Yarrowia lipolytica: one gene and its partners. The main gene of each other region encodes a partner of the protein of the gene in region 3 in a complex. Links are inferred from orthologs where the notes say so. Each region holds a gene or a part of one and is shown on either strand. Other genes may lie near its edges.

Region 1 (6,812 bases), about 550 kb from region 3:
TCCTTCGAGGACTTTTGAGCTTAGCCGTTGTTAAAGGCTGTTTGACTAGCCCGTTTTTGGCTGCGGTGAATACAACTGTACGTGAATACGTGAACTCCGCCGAAAAAGCCCTCTGCATTACACTACAAGTAGCACTTTGCGCCATGAGAGATGACGCAGAGGCTAGTCCGAAAACCAGACGGACATATCACACCCAGTCTGTTTACTATTACCTCCCCTCCTTAGAATGTAGCGCCACCCACTGTAATTCTACCATGTCCAAAGTTTTCGTTTCCGGGGACATGAAGAACGTTCCGCTCCCGACTAGTTCCCGTCTGAGGAGCTATAATAGCGGATGAAAAAACTCAACTAGTGTATTATAGCGTATGATGACCCGGATTATGAATACTAACAGACGGAGCACTAGTGAGCCGGGGCGGAAAAACTAGACAGTGTCACATCCATTATTGATCCAAAGACGACTTGTTCGTCGGCGAGCACACAAGATTTGAAATAAGGAGACATTCCAAACTTTTTACGTATTAGAAACAGAAAAAGTTTTGCAAATCAAGTAGAGGGTTGCAGGGACCACGGCTTCGAGGCTCCAACATCTACGTCACCTTTGAGATTCGCTCTCATTCCTTATCAAACTTTTGGCCTTGGTGTAAACTAAATCCCAAAACGGTCACATTACGAGAGGAAAAAGATAGGGAACGTACCAGTACAAGTAGGCGAGCAATTGTGATCGTTTTGGTTGTGGATGAGTTCTGTTTCAGCACCATACTCCAGTTTTTACGTCGCACTGCGAGTCAATTTCGTTTTCAGCCAAAGTAGTGGCTCGGTTGGACGGCTCGGGTGGGCAGTTTCAGCCGCTTTCTACAAGCGCCTTTCACCAGGTTACCTCTCGTCAAGTCAAGCAGGCGGCTGAACTTTGCGTGCCGTGGTTTAAACCCTCGTGCAATCAACTGCAAGATAAGAAAACGGAGCCACTTGGCGCTGCAGACAATGTCCGTGAAAGTCCATTCTCAACGCCCAAAAGCAAGCCTCTGAAGGTTGCTGTCCCCGAGAGTGGCGTTTTTATAACACAGTGCCATAATCATATCCAACTACAAGTACTCTCTACTTGTACTGTAGTAATATAGGACATGTCACCTCTCGATCGTTCCATTTGATTCAGATAAGATAGCCCACTCTGTCGAGCTTGCTTTCGTATTCAACATGCCTCGCCCCTCTCATGTGTACCAAGCATCTCAATGAAAGTTTACTTGTATGGTTGTTTAACCCACCTTCTGATTGCATTTGCAATCTATCTGGAGCACAGCTCCCACTCTACTCTACTACAGTAGTACAGTATGTACCGTTACAAGTATGTGTACTCATACAGTACTTTCACAAACGCCACTTGTTCTACTTGTTCTACTTGTTCGTATCTCAACAAATCAGTTGTTAATCTATACCAATCACCTTTAATTTTAGTTTCGCTGGGAAGGAGGAATATATCGGCCTCCAGATCCAGCGCCAGATCCACCCTCACGTCGAGAAGGAGGAACGTAGCCTCCTCCGCCACCTTCTCGTCGGCTGGGGGGAACATATCCGCCTCCGCCACCTTCTCGTCGGCTAGGAGGAGTGTAACCTCCAGAGCCAGCTCCAGGAGCGGCTCCAGCATCTCCTCGTCGGCTGGGGGGGACGTATCCACCCTCTCGTCGCGAAGGAGGAACGTAGCCACCGCTGGGAGGGGCCTGTCGACCAGCTCCGGAGAAGCCGGCTCGCTTGGCTTCCAGCTTGGCCTCCAACTCGGCCTCCTTCTGTCGCTGCTTCTCGTAGGCGGCGTCGGCTCGTGCGTTGGCCTCCTCTCGGGCCTTCTTCTCTGCCAGCAGCTTCTCTCGCATCTCCTGCTCGGCCTTGGCCTTGGCTTCCGCCTCAGCAGCAGCCTTGGCCTCTGCCTCAGCGGCAGCCTTGGCCTCTTCCTCAGCTCGTTTGGCGTCAGCGATTCGCTTGGCCTTGACCTCCTCGATTCGAGCAGCCTTAGCCTCGGCGAGATTCTTGACGGCCTCCTCTCGAAGACGAGTAAACTCAGCCTCTCGCTTGACACGGATATCGTCTCGGAAAGACTTGTAGAAGGGAACGGCTCGCTGCAGACGCTTGGCCAGCTCGACCTTGGCGTCGTGCTCGGCCTTGGCGGTGTCCTTGATGAGCTTGATTCGAGTATCGTAGATCTCTCGGTCTCGCTGCTTCTGCTTGACAAAGTCGTCCTCCACCAGCTTGATCTCCTCCATTCGGTAGGCTCGCTCAGTGTGGTCGATTCGCCGAGCAGTGACTCGGAGTCGGTCTCCAAGTTCCTTGGTCTCCTTGGCCAGCTGGTCCACCTGCATCTTTCGCAGAGCGTTGGTGTCCAGACCCTCGAGCTTGTCGAGATCGATAGTGATGATACCCTTCGCGTTGATCTCCTCGGCCAGCTTCTTCTTCTCCTCCTCTCGGATGGCGTCCTGCTCCTTTCGGATCCGCTCGAGCTCTCGGGCGTGCTGCTCGGCAGCCAGACGCTCCTTCTCGGCGAGCTCCTCGTCCAGAAGTCGCTGAGCTCGCTTTCGAGCCTCCTCTTCCTCTCGCTGAGCTCGCTCGGCTTCAGCCTGGGCCTTTCGGGCCTCAATTTCAGCTCGTCGAGCCAGAGTCTCGGCGTGCTCTCGCTCAGCATTGTCCTGAGCAGTAGTGAGAGCAGCCACGTACTGCTGCTCTCGAGCCTCGGCGGAGTTGAGAGGGTCAGCAACAGAGAGAGTTCGACCAAGCCGAGAGAGCTGGGTTCGAACAATTTCAATGGGAGTGTCCTGCAGAGAAGCAGAGCCTGTGGCGGCTCGGACCTCCTCGAACAGCACGGATCGCTGGTCGTGGTCAATCTTAATGGCCAGCTCGCCCTGAGCACAGGCTCGGACAATGAACTGCTCAATCTCCAGAGGGGTAGCAGAGAAAGGGGCAGGGAAAGTAGCCAACTGGATGACAAAGTCAAGCTTGACGGACTCGTAGACCTGCGACAGCTGCTGGAAGAGCCGGGTGAGAATGACCTGGTAAAGAGGGGCAAAGTAGGGCTTGAACTCGGGGGCCTCAGCGATAGCGCCAACCACGGGGGTCAGCTTGGCTCGAATAGACAGAGGGTGAAAGTCGACCTCCAGAGTCTTGTACAGAGCCTTGATCTCAGGCTTGACGTGAGCCAGAATGTTTCGGGACAGCGCAGACTTGAGAAGAGCGTCTCGAGTGGGGGTTCGCTGCAGGTTGAGCAGACCAGTGAGCCGGGTGTTTCGGTATCGATCCTCGGCGCTGGAGTTGTGGGGGATGGCGAGGGCAGACAGAAGCACAAAAGAGGCGACTCGCTGGTACTCGGACACGGGGATGGCACCTCGGGGAGACTGGGACAGCAGGTGGAAGAGCTTGTTCCAGGCCGCAGCGTGGAAGAGGTAGTTTCCGGCGACCAGGAAGATTCGGGCCAGGTTCTCGTAGTAGTTACCCATCATCAGGGGCTTGGCGGGTCGCTTGGAAACTGTCAGCAGGGTGTGCACATCCTCGACGGATCGGAAGGCCTCCTGCCACAACTCCAGCTTGACGGCCACGTTGAGCTGTGAGAACCGGGTGTCAAGGTACCGCTGCAGAGTGTCAGCATCAGACAGATCGACAGAAGTTGCGGTCACGGGGGGAGCGTTGGGGCCTTTCTGGGCAGTGGTCTGCAGATGGGATCGCAGAAGCTCACAGAGTCGTCGGAACTCGGTCTTTCTAGAAAACTTCAGACAGAAGTTGAAGGCCTGCTCGACCACCTGCTGGTAGATGACCTCCAGCTTGCTGTTGTTTCGCAGAACGTCCAGCACGCTTCGGTAGGCCTCCCACAGGAATTTGAGCCAGGGGGTTACGACCCGTCGGTCAGTTCGGTCCTTGGTGTCCTCGGAGGACACCGTGGCCAGAAGCAGGTCTTCAGGCGTCTCCTCGGCCTCCAGATCGTCAGCCTCCTCCTCGTCGGCAATCTTGTCAGCCTGGGCCTGAGCATCAGTAACTCGCTGCTCGGCCAGAGACAGAAACTGCTTGATAACAGGCTCAATGGCGTTCACGTTGGTGGACTGCACGATCTTCTTGTACTGGTGAAGACCATCCTTAATGATTTTGCCCTTGCGCAGGTCAACGGAAAGTTGCACAAATCGAGCCACGATGGGCTCCAGAGTAGCCACAGAAGTGGTTCGGGCCTTTCGGGCAGACACAGTCTCGTGGAGAAGCTCCAGAGCAGCATCCTGCTGGCCCACGGCAATAAGCTCGTCGGTTCGCTTCAAGACCGTCTCGGGACGGACGTTCTGATGGGGAGCCATATTGGTGGTGTGGTTGCTTGGTAGGTGTAACTAGAAATTTTTCAGCAGACGTGTGAGACTTGCAGGTAGGGTAACTTTGAGGGTTAGGCAAAAAGAAGGGATTGTGGTTGTGACGAGGGGCAGAAGTAGAGGGCTGCGACAGGGCGTGGTGCTTGTATTCAGTTTTTGGAAGTAGAATTCTATAAAGCTGTCCCATTTCTCCTCGCATTATCACGTCATCATCAGATCCACTACCTACCATTAGCTCCTAATTTTTTTACAGTGGTGTTTAGTTAGTTAGAGTTTTGTAGTTGGGAGACGAGGAAAGAAGATGTGTGTGCTGTATGTATATATATGCAATTTAACTAAGGTCACATGACCAGACAGAGCCTCGTATCGTACAGTAGGTGTGGAGGAGAGCATGACTTGGAAAGTGTCTAATACGACGGTGATGATATATCTTGGTAAGAGTACTGGACTTGAATGAAGTTGTGCACTTACAGATATCTCATGATCTTTCTCAGGTTTGAATGTACTGTAGGTGCACGTATGTACAGTAGTTTGTATGGAGTGGAACTAACATGCCTCCTGACTGTTGTGTATCTCTGGTCTCTTTGGTCTTCAGATTTCCCCGGTAATCCCGGTGATATGCTCCCTGTTACCTTGAACCGCGGCTTCTCTGATATACCTTCGGGCCTGTGTTAGAGCATTAGTTGTGTAGAGCGAGGTCAGAGACTCTGTGGAGCTGTCGGCTCCGTTGTAGGAGTTGTAGAACTGCTGTATAAGCACACCGGGTTCCAAATGTCATCTATATCTACCAATAAAAGAACTGTATCGTACCATCGCGGTATCTGTAGGTTCGATGGACCAGTCCTCGAGTACATCGTACATACTGTAGTTCACGGAGAGTATATGGGACCCAAAATGGACGAAAGGAACCTGCAACCGCTTTTTCGAGTGCATTGATATATCAGTAATGTAGCTATTTTCAGGCTTTCGACCTAACTGGTACTGTACTACGAGTACTCTTGTGCCATGATGCTCAAAAGTCTGAAGTGTCTCTTCATCTTCCCTGGCGTTTTGTAGCAACACTGATTGCTGGGCCTTACTCTCTCAATGCTGTGTAACTGTACAATGTTACTGACGAAGAGATCATGTTTGATGGATACCTCGCGCTGTTCTCAAATAGCTCCAAAAGTCGAGCGTATAAAGTGTCCTCTCTTGGCCATCTCTTGGTAAGAGAAATGATACTGTTCGCACTCATGTAAGGACGGTGGCGGTTTAACGAGATACCAAATCCACTACAGCTTGTGTGCATACAACGAAGGAGGAAACCCTTGTCCCTTACTACGCTCCCTTTCATTGTATAATGAGCTGGATATGTTGGAGGGACACGCTGAAGAGTAAATGGGAGCCTTTCAAGCTCCTAAACTTTTGATTCTTGAAGTGTCAATAAAAGTACCTGTACTTCAGATTTGATGAATAAAGACGTCCATCTCTCCGACACTCCATCTCCGTGTATGCTCTGGTGACATATGGTTCTTGTGCTACAAGTATTGTAGTGGAAGGTACACTCATGCATCTGAGGGGAAGTGGCATGATGTGTGTATGACCACGAGCAAATACATGCAAGTGGCTCGGGGCTGTACTGTAGATTGTGCTGTTTTGAGAGTCATTCTGCGCTCTACGATATTCGAACTAACAGCCGTAGTTCGCTGGCTATATCACAGCTTGAGCTACTACTGCACGAGTACGAGTACGAGTGCAAGTAGTTGACCGAGAAGGTGTATGGGAAGGAAGCTAAGGTATATTCTGCACATATTCTGTTGCATTAGCTACTGTATGTACTGACACTCGTGGTCTCATACAGAAGGATGGTCTATTCAAGTACCGGAACGATTCTGTATCTGTTGTTCATTCCCCCATACACCATGCACAACCAATGTGACTGGCATTCTACACATAACTCGTCAGTCATATGCCGGCAATCGATTCTGAACCCCATATTAAACCGAAATAGCTGTTGACAAAGAAGTGGCCAGTATGCAAGGATGGATGCTCCCACATGGGGATGAGCAGTCTGCTTGATTTGTCAGGTTGTGACAGCTTTACCATGAGTCATGTACAAGTACAGTGTACTGGTAGATACAACGCTGGAACATGGGACATTTTTTAGCCAAATATTTACTCAATGTTTACCCGATGGTTGCTTGAATACGTCTCCTGACCTCCTTCAGCTCCTAAATTTACCATTTCTCTCGCGTTACTCGGTCTAGCAGATGATCCACGTTGTCGATGCTCAGTTATGCCCGTCAGCTGTGCGGTTAAATGGACAATCTAGCGGAGCGGAGATAATGGAGTGGGGGCAGGAGTCTTGTTGCACCGTCTATAACGGTGGTAGTTCCGTCGGAAGTGTTGCAAAAGGGGCTAAAAAGTAGTACCAGTATATACACAGGCAGCTACATTCCGTCAGATGATAGCCACTACTAACTTGAGTCCGTGTTTGCTGTCGGA
Region 2 (5,278 bases), on a different chromosome or scaffold from region 3:
AGAGTTGGAAGATATCTCCTTACCAATTCACAGCTGCCATTCTCACCCTATCTACAGTACTCGTAAGTCTAGCAGCGGTCTTCCTTTTTGTCGTGAAGAACTACTTTCTAGTTGTTATTGTTGTTTTTGTCAACTCGGTGCTGGTCAATGAAATCAAATGGGCTGAGGCCTACTTTTCCACCAATTGGTTGCCTAAAAACAAGTACCTGGAGATGTTTGAAAAGAGCAAGAATATTATTCTGCTGTTCACCATTTTTCCTGCCATGATTGCCACCTGGATCCGAACTGTGTGGTTGTTTGTTCCTATTCCTGTGGCTCTTTTGCTCATATCCTACTTCCTGGCCTTCAAATTGGAACGTCTTCTCGACCAGCAAGTCAAGTACAAACAGATGCTTGAAGACAATGCTGAATACACTCCTCTTGCCGAGTGGAATGACCCCAACTCGTATGACTATTACAAGATTGACATTAAGCAGGAGAGCTGGGGTCAATTCTACACCTATTATTTCTTCCAGTTTTTGTGACCTCAATTGATATGCACTGAAGATAATATGTATTGTTGATTAGATATATATAACTTAGTACATATAACAGTATATATATAACAACCCACTTCTAAGGATACCAGCTTCCAATAATAACGCACACCAGAAAGAGATTCTAGAGAGATTCTAGATAAGCAGATACACCATCTACAGGACAGACATGTCGTCGACCAGCTGATGGAATCTTCTAGCACCCTACTTGGTATCACCTTCAACTTCCGGTGTTGAAAGACAATAAATTAGTGAAGACATTCCGTTGGAATCAGCTCAAGACAGTGTATAATCAGCCTGTAGGAGGAATAAAAGTATCTTAAATTTAAATATACCGTATCTACAGATGATCCAGAGTGGGTATGATAACTCCTTTAAAAAGAAATGAACTTCTCATTGGTAGACACAACATATAATATGGGTGTAGCTACAAGTACATACTACCTGCTGATACCAAAGACGAAAAAGCTGCCAACACATATATATCAAGTTTGGTTTCGAATACGTTTCCAGGTTTTTTAAATGTAAATATCACCTAGGTGTATCCAAGCCATTATCTGTCCTTCTCTTCTTACGGAATGAAAAGTGTGGTTGAATGAGCAGTGTGGTTTTTTGTTTTTTTTCTGCATATACATTCATTTAATTGGTGTACACAACATGAGAAGAGACACCTAACCAGACATGTGTATTGCAATAAGTGGTTAAAGAAACGCCATTCAATTCTGTCTTGAATTCTGGGTACAGCAGCTATTGTAACATAACTCAGACGAAACTCACAATTCGCTCTTGCTCCTCGAGTACAGTACTTTCATAAACATCTACACATAATTACGGTAGACACATGTCATAGGCCACTTTACTCGTACTCTACATTCTCCCCATTGCTTATCAACCATATAATCTCTATTTTACCTCCTAAGCAGCAATTTTTCTCTTCTGCGCGTTGGCGTTCTCTCGGGCCTGCTTGACCACGTGGAGCACGTCGTTGATGCTCTTCTTCCACACATCCAGCTTCTGGCTGATGACCTCCCAGTCGGCCTTGGCGATAGGACCGCTCTTCTGGGCCCGGTGCACAGCGAACGACTGCTTGGTCTGGCTCAGACGGCCCTCCACGAGACCGGCTCGGATCGTATCGATAACCCACAGCTCCACTGTGTCCAGAGAAACGTCCAGGTTCTTGGCGATGATAGAGTACTCGATCTCAGGAGACTCGGCAGCGAGGTTGGCCAGCGCAATGACTCGGGTCTTGGCGAGCAGCGACTCCGCATCAAAGTCGTTCTCCTCAATGAGGCTCTTGGCGTCTCCGGCGGCCAGAGATTGCATCTTGGCCACTTCTCCGCTTGCCACGGTGGTCAGCAGCTCGAATAGTCGCTGTTCTGTGGTCTTGAGGTCCTCCACGGGCTCGAGAGCCAGAATAGAGCCAAAGTCGTACACGTGGTCCGACTTGAGCGCCTGCTGCACCAGCTTGCAGGTCATGGGGAAGGTGGAGGTCTGGGTGTTGCCAACAGCAGCCACCAGCAGAGCCAGGGCCTTGGCGGGCTCGTCCAGCTGCACGAGGGCACTGTAGATCTTGGCAATGAGCTGATCTCGCACGTCAGCCTCAATCTGCCACGTGTTGATCCATGTGACGGTCTGGTCGGACTTGAGCTGTCCGGCAAGAAGATGCAGGTTTCCAGTCTCCTCAGCGGTGGTCAGAGCAGCCAGAAGGGTGTTTGCGAGCTGTGCGTCGTCGTGGCTGGAGCTCAGCATATTGAAAAGAGAGGCCAGGACAGCAACAACGGCCTGGCCCGCAGCAGCGGGGCCGTTGAAAGATCGAGGCAGGTTGCTGTGGCCGGAAATGGCCTTCAGAACAGCATCAACCCACTCAAAGGACTCGGAGAAGGAGAAGACGTGCAAGCACAACTGCCACACGGACTCAAACTGCTGCTCCGAAGACTTGTTTAGCAGAGGGAGCTGCTGAGTAATCAACTCAAACACCTTGGGCTCCTCACCCGCAGCCAGAGCTCGTTGGCAGTTGGCCTCCAGCTCGTCGCAGCCAAGGGTCTCGATGTACGCGGTCAGCTCGGCCACCAGGTCGGCCAGAGAGCCGTCGACAACCATGAAATTGATATCGGACATGTTGGTTGTGTAGTGGTGGGTGTGGTGGTTGATGTGAAATTTTTGGGCCCTCCATAGAGTTATGGTTAGGGTTGGGGTTAGATTGGAGAGCTCGTTGTTACCACCTTTTCTGGCCATCTGGGGTGTAAAGTAGCCTTATATACAGGTACAAAATGTCGTGCTCATTACACTGGTTGTTTCAGTGTGACCAAATTCCATCTCAATCACCTCTTCTACCGCCCCGTTCTCTCCTTTGGATACTCAATTGGGAGTAATGAAATTTCACCTTAAAAAAAAAGAACCCGAAATTTCAACTGTCGATGTTGGTTGGGAGGAGAAGGAAATGCACTTGACTTGTTCACACAGAACATTGCTACGACAGAATGTAGCAGTAGGTGCAAGTACAAGCACCTGTCGCGGTTGCCACCATTACTCTTCATTTCAATACAATGATGTTCCTTTTTTTCCCAAAGTATATCCAAAATATCCATTCAATACATAATACAAAATACATCCCCTTGGTCAGCTTAGAAACTATCTGTAGGCCAGTATCCGTCTGTCGTTAAGCAGCCTACAAAAACTTGTCAGTAAACCGCCCCTTAGATCGAGTAGCATCCAGGAACAACGACTCGCACTCCTCCACGTCCTTGACCTCCACCACGTCTCGTCCCTCGCTCTTGGCCAGCACTCCAGCAGGAGACAGAAGCTGAAGGCCGTATCTCAGCGAGGTTCGGGCTCCATGTTGAGCAAGGGCGTCCAGAGCGTCCTCGGAAATCTGCTGCTGTTCAACCACAGCTCGCTTCTGAATGATGGTCTTGATCTCGTCCAGAGAGTAGGGCAGAGTTCGCACAATGAGCAGTCGATCGAGCAGATCGGTGGTGATGCCGTGAGGAGACACATCGTCGTCCACACCCCGAACTCGGCACATGCCTCGGTTGGACGCCAGGATGACAATGGGCGAGATTGTCGACTCCAGAGCCCGGTTGAGGTAGGTAAAACACTCCACATCTAGCATGTTCACCTCGTCGATAAACAGTACACCAGGCACCAGTTCAGCCACTCCCTGGTCAATGTACGACTGCACCTTTTTGTTGACCTCCTCTCTCAGCTTGTCTGTGATTTCTGTCTTTTTGGGCTTCATCAGCGAGCCCATCATCGACATGACATCCTGTCCTCCCTGAGGCCGTGCATTGGCCACATCCAAATCATGCAGCGTTACGTCCTGCACAATCTCCTTCTTCTTGTGCACCTCTCCCTTGGGCAGGGGAACGTACTCCTCCGTCTCGAGATCAAATTCGGTAGCGTAGGCATCCGATCGTCCCACTCGCTTGACAGCACCAGTGTTGGCCTCAATGTAAATCACGTCGCCAACGGCCACCCGCTCCTTCTGAATCGACTCGTAGATCTTGGGATCCAGCCGCAGTTGCTTAGTGCCTCTGTAACTCTTGAGACCCACCACCACCGACCGGATGGTTTTGCCGTAGCCTCCCAGGGGATCTTCGGCCTCCTCGGGCGTCAGCTCCGTCACCTCTCCCTCGTAAATGTCCTTGGTCTCCTTGATTCGCAGTCCAATGGCCCGTCGAAAGTTCTCCATCAGAGCAGCAGTCTTCTTGACCTCTGCGGAGAAAATCTCAGAACCAACAATGGGGCAGAAGGGGACCTTGGGGCCGAGTTCCTGCGAGACGGCAAGCGCCAGAGCAGTCTTTCCGGTACCGGGACCGCCAGCAAGAAGGATTCCTCGGCCGCTCATCTTGCTGGCTCGAATCAGGTCAACCACCAGTCCCAGGGCCTCTCGAGCCTCGGTTTGGCCCACAAACCCCGCATCAATGGGCTTGGCGACACCCATTTCGTTGAGACCTAGACCACGGATATGTGTGTGCGCGGCTGTGCGGGTGTCTCGCGAATTGCTCTTGATTTCGTTGATTTGCACCATGGTTATGTCTAGTAGTGATGGCAAGTGGTGATGCAGACGGCTTGATTTTTTTGGTGCAGTGTGGAACCTTGATGAAAGAGCTGAACTGTAGGTAGGGTAACTTAGGAGGAGGAGGTTTGGGGGTGTTTGAGGGGCGAGGGAACAAATTTGACAACTATTATGGGGTTATTCAAGGCCACATTATACTGCTGATCTGATTCAAATGTCAAATTTCGTGCTCTCAACGTCTACTTGGTGTGGGGTTGTGGAATGTTAGGGCTAACAATCTTGGGCGTGAGTTGACATGACTTGCAACATTAAGGCGCCGCAATAGCTGTTTTGTTGACAACACTCTATAACCCAACTAATGTTGCTCTCAGTACTTGACTTGATGACCTAACGCCCACTCAACAGCACACCTCATCCAACTCGCCGGAGAGACATTCCACAAACTCTGGAGATGAAAATAATGAGTATTGTACCTTTTCAAGAATACCCATATCTTACCATCACCAAAAATACGGGCCTCTACACCCCCAGAGCACCTCCTCTTTCGCCACCCTAACCCACAACTTTCATTCCTCCCTCCTCAATAGAGTTCATGCACGATCAAAAAAAATATCTAGGCCCAGAAACTTTCAAATCTTTTCTGTCCAAGACGCTATACACCTATGGGAGCTGAAGAACAAAGCAACAAGGAGCATCGGACGTCGCGGGACAAGACGAAGATGGC
Region 3 (5,996 bases):
CAAGAGGAAAGTATGGGAAGCGTGGAGGTGGAACGCTGCCAAGTCTAATTTCGAGTACCACGAGGCGACCAAGCATTCTGCGAGTGTAGTGCTGAATAAGCACTGGACCAAACTGGTATTAGCAAAGGCTAACATCGACAGGCACAATCTGAGTGCCCAGCGGTTTTACAAAGCAAATGCGTTCATCAAGTTCTTCCACATGTGGAGAAAGGCAACGAAGATGGTTACTCAGAAAGATGCTCTCGTTGCCAAGACCAACGAGACCCTTGCCAAAAACGTTTTGGATGCATGGCGTGCTTCTTTGTTGCTGAAACTTGAAGCGAAACGATTCCGGAAACACTCGCTGTTACACTTGGGACTGACAGCTTTTACGATCGGGCTCAAAACTCAGGCAGTACAACGAAGACGGGGTGACGATTTGAAGTACAGAATTCTCACAATGTGGAGGTTCAAATCACGTGCCAGACTCACCTCGCGGGTCAACAACGGAGTCATGGCAAAGACCATTCTGGTACACTGGAGACAAGTCACTGCCGAGAGGATTGACTCTCGTACAATGATGTTTCAGAAGAAAACAATGGAGCTGAACCAGAAGATTGCTCATCGTTTCCTGAACATCTGGAGAGACCACCTTGAGGATGTCGCTTTGGATATGTCCCGTGCCCACCAACATTATCGTAATGGTCTTTTGACTCTCGGCTTTAGCAAGATCAGCACAGTGTTCAACAAGATGCACGATATGTACTCTGAGGCTGAAGATCTACGCAACCGGAATGTCGGCAAGAGTTTTCTGAAATACTGGCGGACCAACATGGAGACAAAACGAAGTCGTCGTCATGAGGAAGAGGTTCGCGAGTTCCGTGCTCACCGAGACCACCAAATTGCGATAACAGCATTCTCCAGGTGGAGACTCGCCAAGAACAAGGTGGAGGAGGATATGGCTGTTGCCGAGGACCTTTTCATCGAGAAGGATATGTTGACCATGAAAGAGATATTTGATCATTGGAGATTCCTATCCGAGCAATCCAGAGGTCTGGTGGAAGATGCATCTGCCATCAACGACAAACGTCTTTTGAATGCGCACTTTTCTTCATGGCTGTTCAAGGCTGAGAGGGCTGACCTGTTCAGCAAGGCTGCCAACGACACACGAACGAAGAACCTCAAGAAGATCCAGAGACAACACGTGCGCAAATGGCGACTGCGAACGTTGCGCATGATCCAGAACCAACGAACAGCCGAGGACTTTGAGAAGAAGCGCGACTCTCGACTCGCGGAGCCTTACTTCAAAAAATGGCTAAATAAATGCAGAGAAAAGACTGGTTTTGGTCCCACCCTTTCAGATGAAGCAGTCAACTACCATGAAATTCGAGAAATGCATGGCTTTGAAACTCCTTTGCGGTCCAGCAGACGTCCGCCCACTTCTATTAGAATGAGCCGTTTGCGTCAGGACCCCAGCACTCCACGAACTCTTCTCGCACCCCTGTTACGAAAACAACTGGACAACGTGAATCAACAAACTATTTAATAATGTACATTAGCTATTTATCATCTACACTACACAGTAATTACATTTTATACTAACCAATCGTATTTCTATAACATGATTTTTTTAAAGCCATCTAAAAGCCAGCAGCGGGCTTGTAGATCTTGACGGCAGGGTTGTTGGGGTCCTTGACGAGAACGTACTTGCCGTCGTCCTTGGCGGTGGCAATGTTGACGACGGACTTGAAGATACCCCAACCGTTGTTAAGGTTGACATTGATCTGCTCAGCAAACTGCTTGGGCTCTCGGCTGACAACACCAATGATGTTGTGCTGGGTGTTGTCCTTAGGGGACACTCGGGAGGCGAAACCAATCTTCATCTGATCAACATCACCGAGAATGCTCTGCACAGTCCATCGAGAGATCTTGTTGAGGTTGTGCTTGAGTTCAGCGGCGATGATGGCACCTCGGCCGGTGTTGAACTTGTTCTTCCACTCGGAGGAGCCGTACTCGTTGAGAACACGCAGGTTGAGGGTAGTGCCGTCAGGTCCAAGAGCGTCGACCTCGGTTCGGAGGATGAGGTTAAGGGGTGCTCCCTCAGGGTCGTCCGAAAGGTTGAACTTCTTGTACTTGTAGGCGTGGCACAGGACGTTGGAGTCGTTGTTAGAGAAGGGGTTGGCCTTGTAGGAGACCTTGCTCTTGGGGTCCTCAGTAATAGCATTGGAGGCAAAGTTCTGGTTAATCAGAGTAGCCTCAAAGCCAAGGTTTGCGGAAGAGTTGATGTTGTCCTTGTCGGTGGAGTCAGCAGGAGGGTCAGCAGCGTTCTCGTCGACGGTGATGAAGTCGAGAGGACCACCCTCTCGCTTGTCAAAGAAGAGCTGCTCACCCTTCTTGGTGATGACAATATCCCAAGGAGCCACGGACTTGGTGGTGCACATGATCTGAGACAGAATGGTGTCAGTGATGAAGATTCGGTTGGCAGGGTCCTTGGCGAGCTCCTGCATGATGGGGTCCTCAGAGGTGGTGGTGTTGAACACGGTTCGGCCGAGGTGAGCGAGCTTGGTAATGTTGTTAGTACGGTCGAACTTTCGGTCGTAGGGGAACAGGTCTCCGTAGGTATCAATCTCCACTCCCTGGGCAACGTCGTAGCTGAGCTTCTGCATCTCGGAGTAAGTGATCTCCTGGATCTCGGTCCAGTCGTCGGTAATGTCGACGGAGGCGTTTCGGATTCGCTGGGGCTTGTCAAAGTCTCTCCATCCGAACTTGCTCTTACCAAATCGAGGGTTGGGGCCTCGCTGGCCACCAACGGGTCCCCGGCCGGGTTGATTCTGGAATCGGCCTCCTCGCTGGGAACCTCCTCGTCCAGCGAAAGAGCCACCTCGGGGAGCACCTCCTCGAGTCTTGAGAACGGTGGCAGTTCCTCGGGGCTTGTTGGCGTTCTTGGCGTTGTCAACCACGGAGAAAGATGACAGCTCCTCAGCATCCTCGTTGGTGAAGAAGGAAGCGGAAGAGGCTCCGTAGGCATGGTAGGGGTCTCGGAAGTTCTTGCCGAACTGGGTTCGCTTCTGGTCCTTACCGTCCTTGGTCTCAGCAGCCCAGTCAGCCACCTTACCGAGCTTGTCTCCCTTAGAGAAGGGGGCGTAAGGAACGTCGTCGAACTTGAGGTCCTCAGGGACGGTAGAAGGGGGGCCCCAAGGGGCGTTTGCGTCGAGAAGAGCGGGAAGTCGGAGAGCCATTATTGTCGTCTAGATGTGGATGTCCGGCTGTCTAGTTTCAATATCGTGGGTCGTGAGCTTAATTTCCAATTTTCACCTATGCCATGCTTAAATTTTTCCATGCGTGGATATTTCAGTCCCAAGAATATTAGAGTACGAGAGGGTGAAGACCTCCTACAATTCGTTGCAAGAGGGTGTCGCATCAAATAAGACCAGTAAAACTGTATCAAGAATGTCGAAAATGCTCACCTAGCTTTTCACTTTGTGAAAAGGCACGACCAGTAGCGTATTTGTGTCGAGACATCTCTAGTTGAGATTGCGAACATGCTCATGGGAGTTTGGGAGTTTGTTCAAGAACATCTTGTTTTCTCAGTAACTAGAAGATGTCGCCAAATAACACTATTGTGAGAGATTAGAAGAGTTGAGAAGAATACAAATATTATTATCACATCCGGGAAACTTCAACAATTACCAATATTACGAAGAGAAGGGCCTGCTCCTCTATTTGTGCAGCAACTCAGCCCCACTAACTTCAACGGCTTAGTAATCATCGACTTAATAAGCACCTCCCAATATCGATATCGTTGGAGTTAACACAACAGCACACAGTATCATCTACACCACACATCACAACGCAATGAACGGAATCAGTGTAGATATGAACCACCTGAAGAAGGGCGAGGTCAAGTGAGTACACCGCATTACAACTGGTACAGTTGTCCCTGCAATTGACCCCTTCAAGACCCCTTACTAACACAGCCTCGGAACCTCCATGTATGTATCACCATTTCGCCACCAACACCATCTAATGATACCCCATCCGCAATCGCACAGAAACTAACAACAGTATGGCCGTCAAGTTCAAGGACGGAGTCGTGCTTGGCGCAGACAGGTGAGTATCAACCAGGATGACCGCATTCGCCACCCGTCGGGACCCATCAAATGTTAGAACAATCCCACTAACACAGTCGAACAACCACAGGAGCTTTCATTGCCAACCGAGTCACCGACAAGCTTACTCAAGTCCACGATAAGATCTGGTGCTGCCGATCTGGCTCCGCCGCAGACACACAGGCCGTGGCAGACATTGTCACTTATCATCTGCAATCATACGCCGCCCAGAACGACAAGGACCCCTCTACGAAGGTGGCGGCCTCAATGTTCCAGGAGCTGTGCTACAACAACAAGGATAACCTCACTGCAGGTATCATTGTGGCTGGCTACGATGACAAGAACGGAGGTGAGGTGTACAGCATACCTCTTGGTGGTTCGTTGCACAAGCAGGACTACGCCATTGCCGGTAGTGGATCCACATACATTTATGGTCTTTGTCAAAAGAACTTCAAGCAGGACATGACCAAGGACGAGTGTGTTCTGTTCATCAAGAACTGTGAGTATTCCCCCGAAACAAGTATACCTGAGATATCCCGGTATTGTTACTAACATAGCGCTTGCCCAGGCCATTAAGTGGGACGGTTCGTCTGGAGGAGTCATTCGAATTTGCATTCTCACCAAGGATGGAGCTGAGCGACAGATCTTCTTCCCCGACGAGTATGAGGCTGATTACTGATTCTATAGGTTTTGGCATGTATGGAAAGAATAATAATATACAAGTGAAGTTATTCACAGGCGAAATTGTATTTAACGTATAAATAAGGACATTGCAAGTCCTAAATGTCAAAGTCCACATCGTCGTCCACATCTGACTTTCTGCTCTTCTTCTTCTTCTTCTTCTTCTTTTCTTTCTTGTCTTTTTTATCCTTGTCCTTCTTGTCCTTCTTATCTTTCTTCTTATCTTTCTTGCCTTCGCTCTTTTCCCCAGGCATGCTTCCCAAGAGGTCGTCGAGGGTGGAGAACCCTTCCTTTTTCACTTGGGGAACGGGGGACTGAGAGGGTGCTTCCACTTCACTATCAGCATGTTCAGTCTTTATCACAGGTTCCTCGATATCAGAGTCAAAGTCGAAATCATAGTCGTCATTTGGTTCAGTCTTGGGATGAGGGGTGTCTTCAACATTGCGCGCACCAAAGTCGTACTCGTCATATGGCGAGGGCTCAGGCTTGACAGCGAAATCACTGTCTGAGTTACCAAGTGCTGACTCCTTATCTGGCTCTAATTTGACTTGAGGCTCCGAATCTCCATCAACTTGGATTTCATAGTCATCAGAATCCTCGTCAACTTCAATTTTGTCGTCATCGGAATCGTTGCCATCGCCATCGCTGTTAAGCGTCTCCCACCAAGGAACTACTTCATCTGACCCAGCTGAACCATCATCAGCGACCTCAGCATCCTCCGCAGCCTCAGCACTCGCGTTCTCACTAGCAGGGTCATCGTCATCATTAAGAGTCTGGTCCCACCATGGTACCGTCTCATATTCGGAGTTGCTGTCATGTTCACTGGCAAAGGCAGAAAACTGACCTTCGTTTTTGATGGTTTCGAGTTTGACTTCGCCGTGGGCATGGCCGCTCGAAATGTCATCCAACAAGCTCAGATACTCTTCAAGACAAAAGATCATTCCTCCCTTATGTGCCAACTCAAACTGCACCCTGCATCGATCTAGCAGTTCCTTTGAGGTAGCTGACAAAACTCCTTGTTTCTCGATATTGTAATAGACACATCTGAGCAATACGATACCCCGAAGATACATTAGCGACGAGTCCTCCGAGAAGGGCGGGATCAGCATGTCCTCATCCAAACGGGTAAGAAGGTCTTCAGGCGTACCATTGAACTTGAGGTGTACAAGGGCCAAGTTTCGTAAGAAGTCATCACTTCTGGAGATCAAGTGCCGTATATCTCGCCCC

What was found. Proteins that work in one complex are often made in the same cells at the same time.
Region 1: YALI1_F19805g (region 3) and YALI1_F25254g share a complex: the UniProt entries of both Schizosaccharomyces pombe proteins name them as parts of the eukaryotic translation initiation factor 3 (eIF-3) complex. The link is inferred for Yarrowia lipolytica from reciprocal best matches to the Schizosaccharomyces pombe genes moe1 and tif301.
Region 2: YALI1_F19805g (region 3) and YALI1_C30205g share a complex: the UniProt entries of both Schizosaccharomyces pombe proteins name them as parts of the eukaryotic translation initiation factor 3 (eIF-3) complex. The link is inferred for Yarrowia lipolytica from reciprocal best matches to the Schizosaccharomyces pombe genes moe1 and tif313.

What each region holds. Positions count from the first base shown.
Region 1 is NC_090775.1:2,522,972-2,529,783, reverse strand, and holds YALI1_F25254g (uncharacterized protein), read right to left. Parts: upstream 4,320-6,812; coding exon 1,452-4,319; downstream 1-1,451. Other genes in the region: YALI1_F25289g (uncharacterized protein), read left to right, coding at 740-767, 811-1,121. UniProt on the Schizosaccharomyces pombe protein: RNA-binding component of the eukaryotic translation initiation factor 3 (eIF-3) complex, which is involved in protein synthesis of a specialized repertoire of mRNAs and, together with other initiation factors, stimulates binding of mRNA and methionyl-tRNAi to the 40S ribosome.
Region 2 is NC_090772.1:3,018,076-3,023,353, reverse strand, and holds YALI1_C30205g (uncharacterized protein), read right to left. Parts: upstream 2,772-5,278; coding exon 1,452-2,771; downstream 1-1,451. Other genes in the region: YALI1_C30235g (uncharacterized protein), read left to right, coding at 1-524; YALI1_C30187g (uncharacterized protein), read right to left, coding at 3,205-4,566; YALI1_C30181g (uncharacterized protein), read left to right, coding at 5,217-5,278. UniProt on the Schizosaccharomyces pombe protein: Component of the eukaryotic translation initiation factor 3 (eIF-3) complex, which is involved in protein synthesis of a specialized repertoire of mRNAs and, together with other initiation factors, stimulates binding of mRNA and methionyl-tRNAi to the 40S ribosome.
Region 3 is NC_090775.1:1,977,306-1,983,301, forward strand, and holds YALI1_F19805g (uncharacterized protein), read right to left. Parts: upstream 3,219-5,996; coding exon 1,620-3,218; downstream 1-1,619. Other genes in the region: YALI1_F19764g (uncharacterized protein), read left to right, coding at 1-1,525; YALI1_F19811g (uncharacterized protein), read left to right, coding at 3,835-3,884, 4,027-4,089, 4,166-4,587, 4,646-4,767; YALI1_F19841g (uncharacterized protein), read right to left, coding at 4,868-5,996. UniProt on the Schizosaccharomyces pombe protein: mRNA cap-binding component of the eukaryotic translation initiation factor 3 (eIF-3) complex, which is involved in protein synthesis of a specialized repertoire of mRNAs and, together with other initiation factors, stimulates binding of mRNA and methionyl-tRNAi to the 40S ribosome.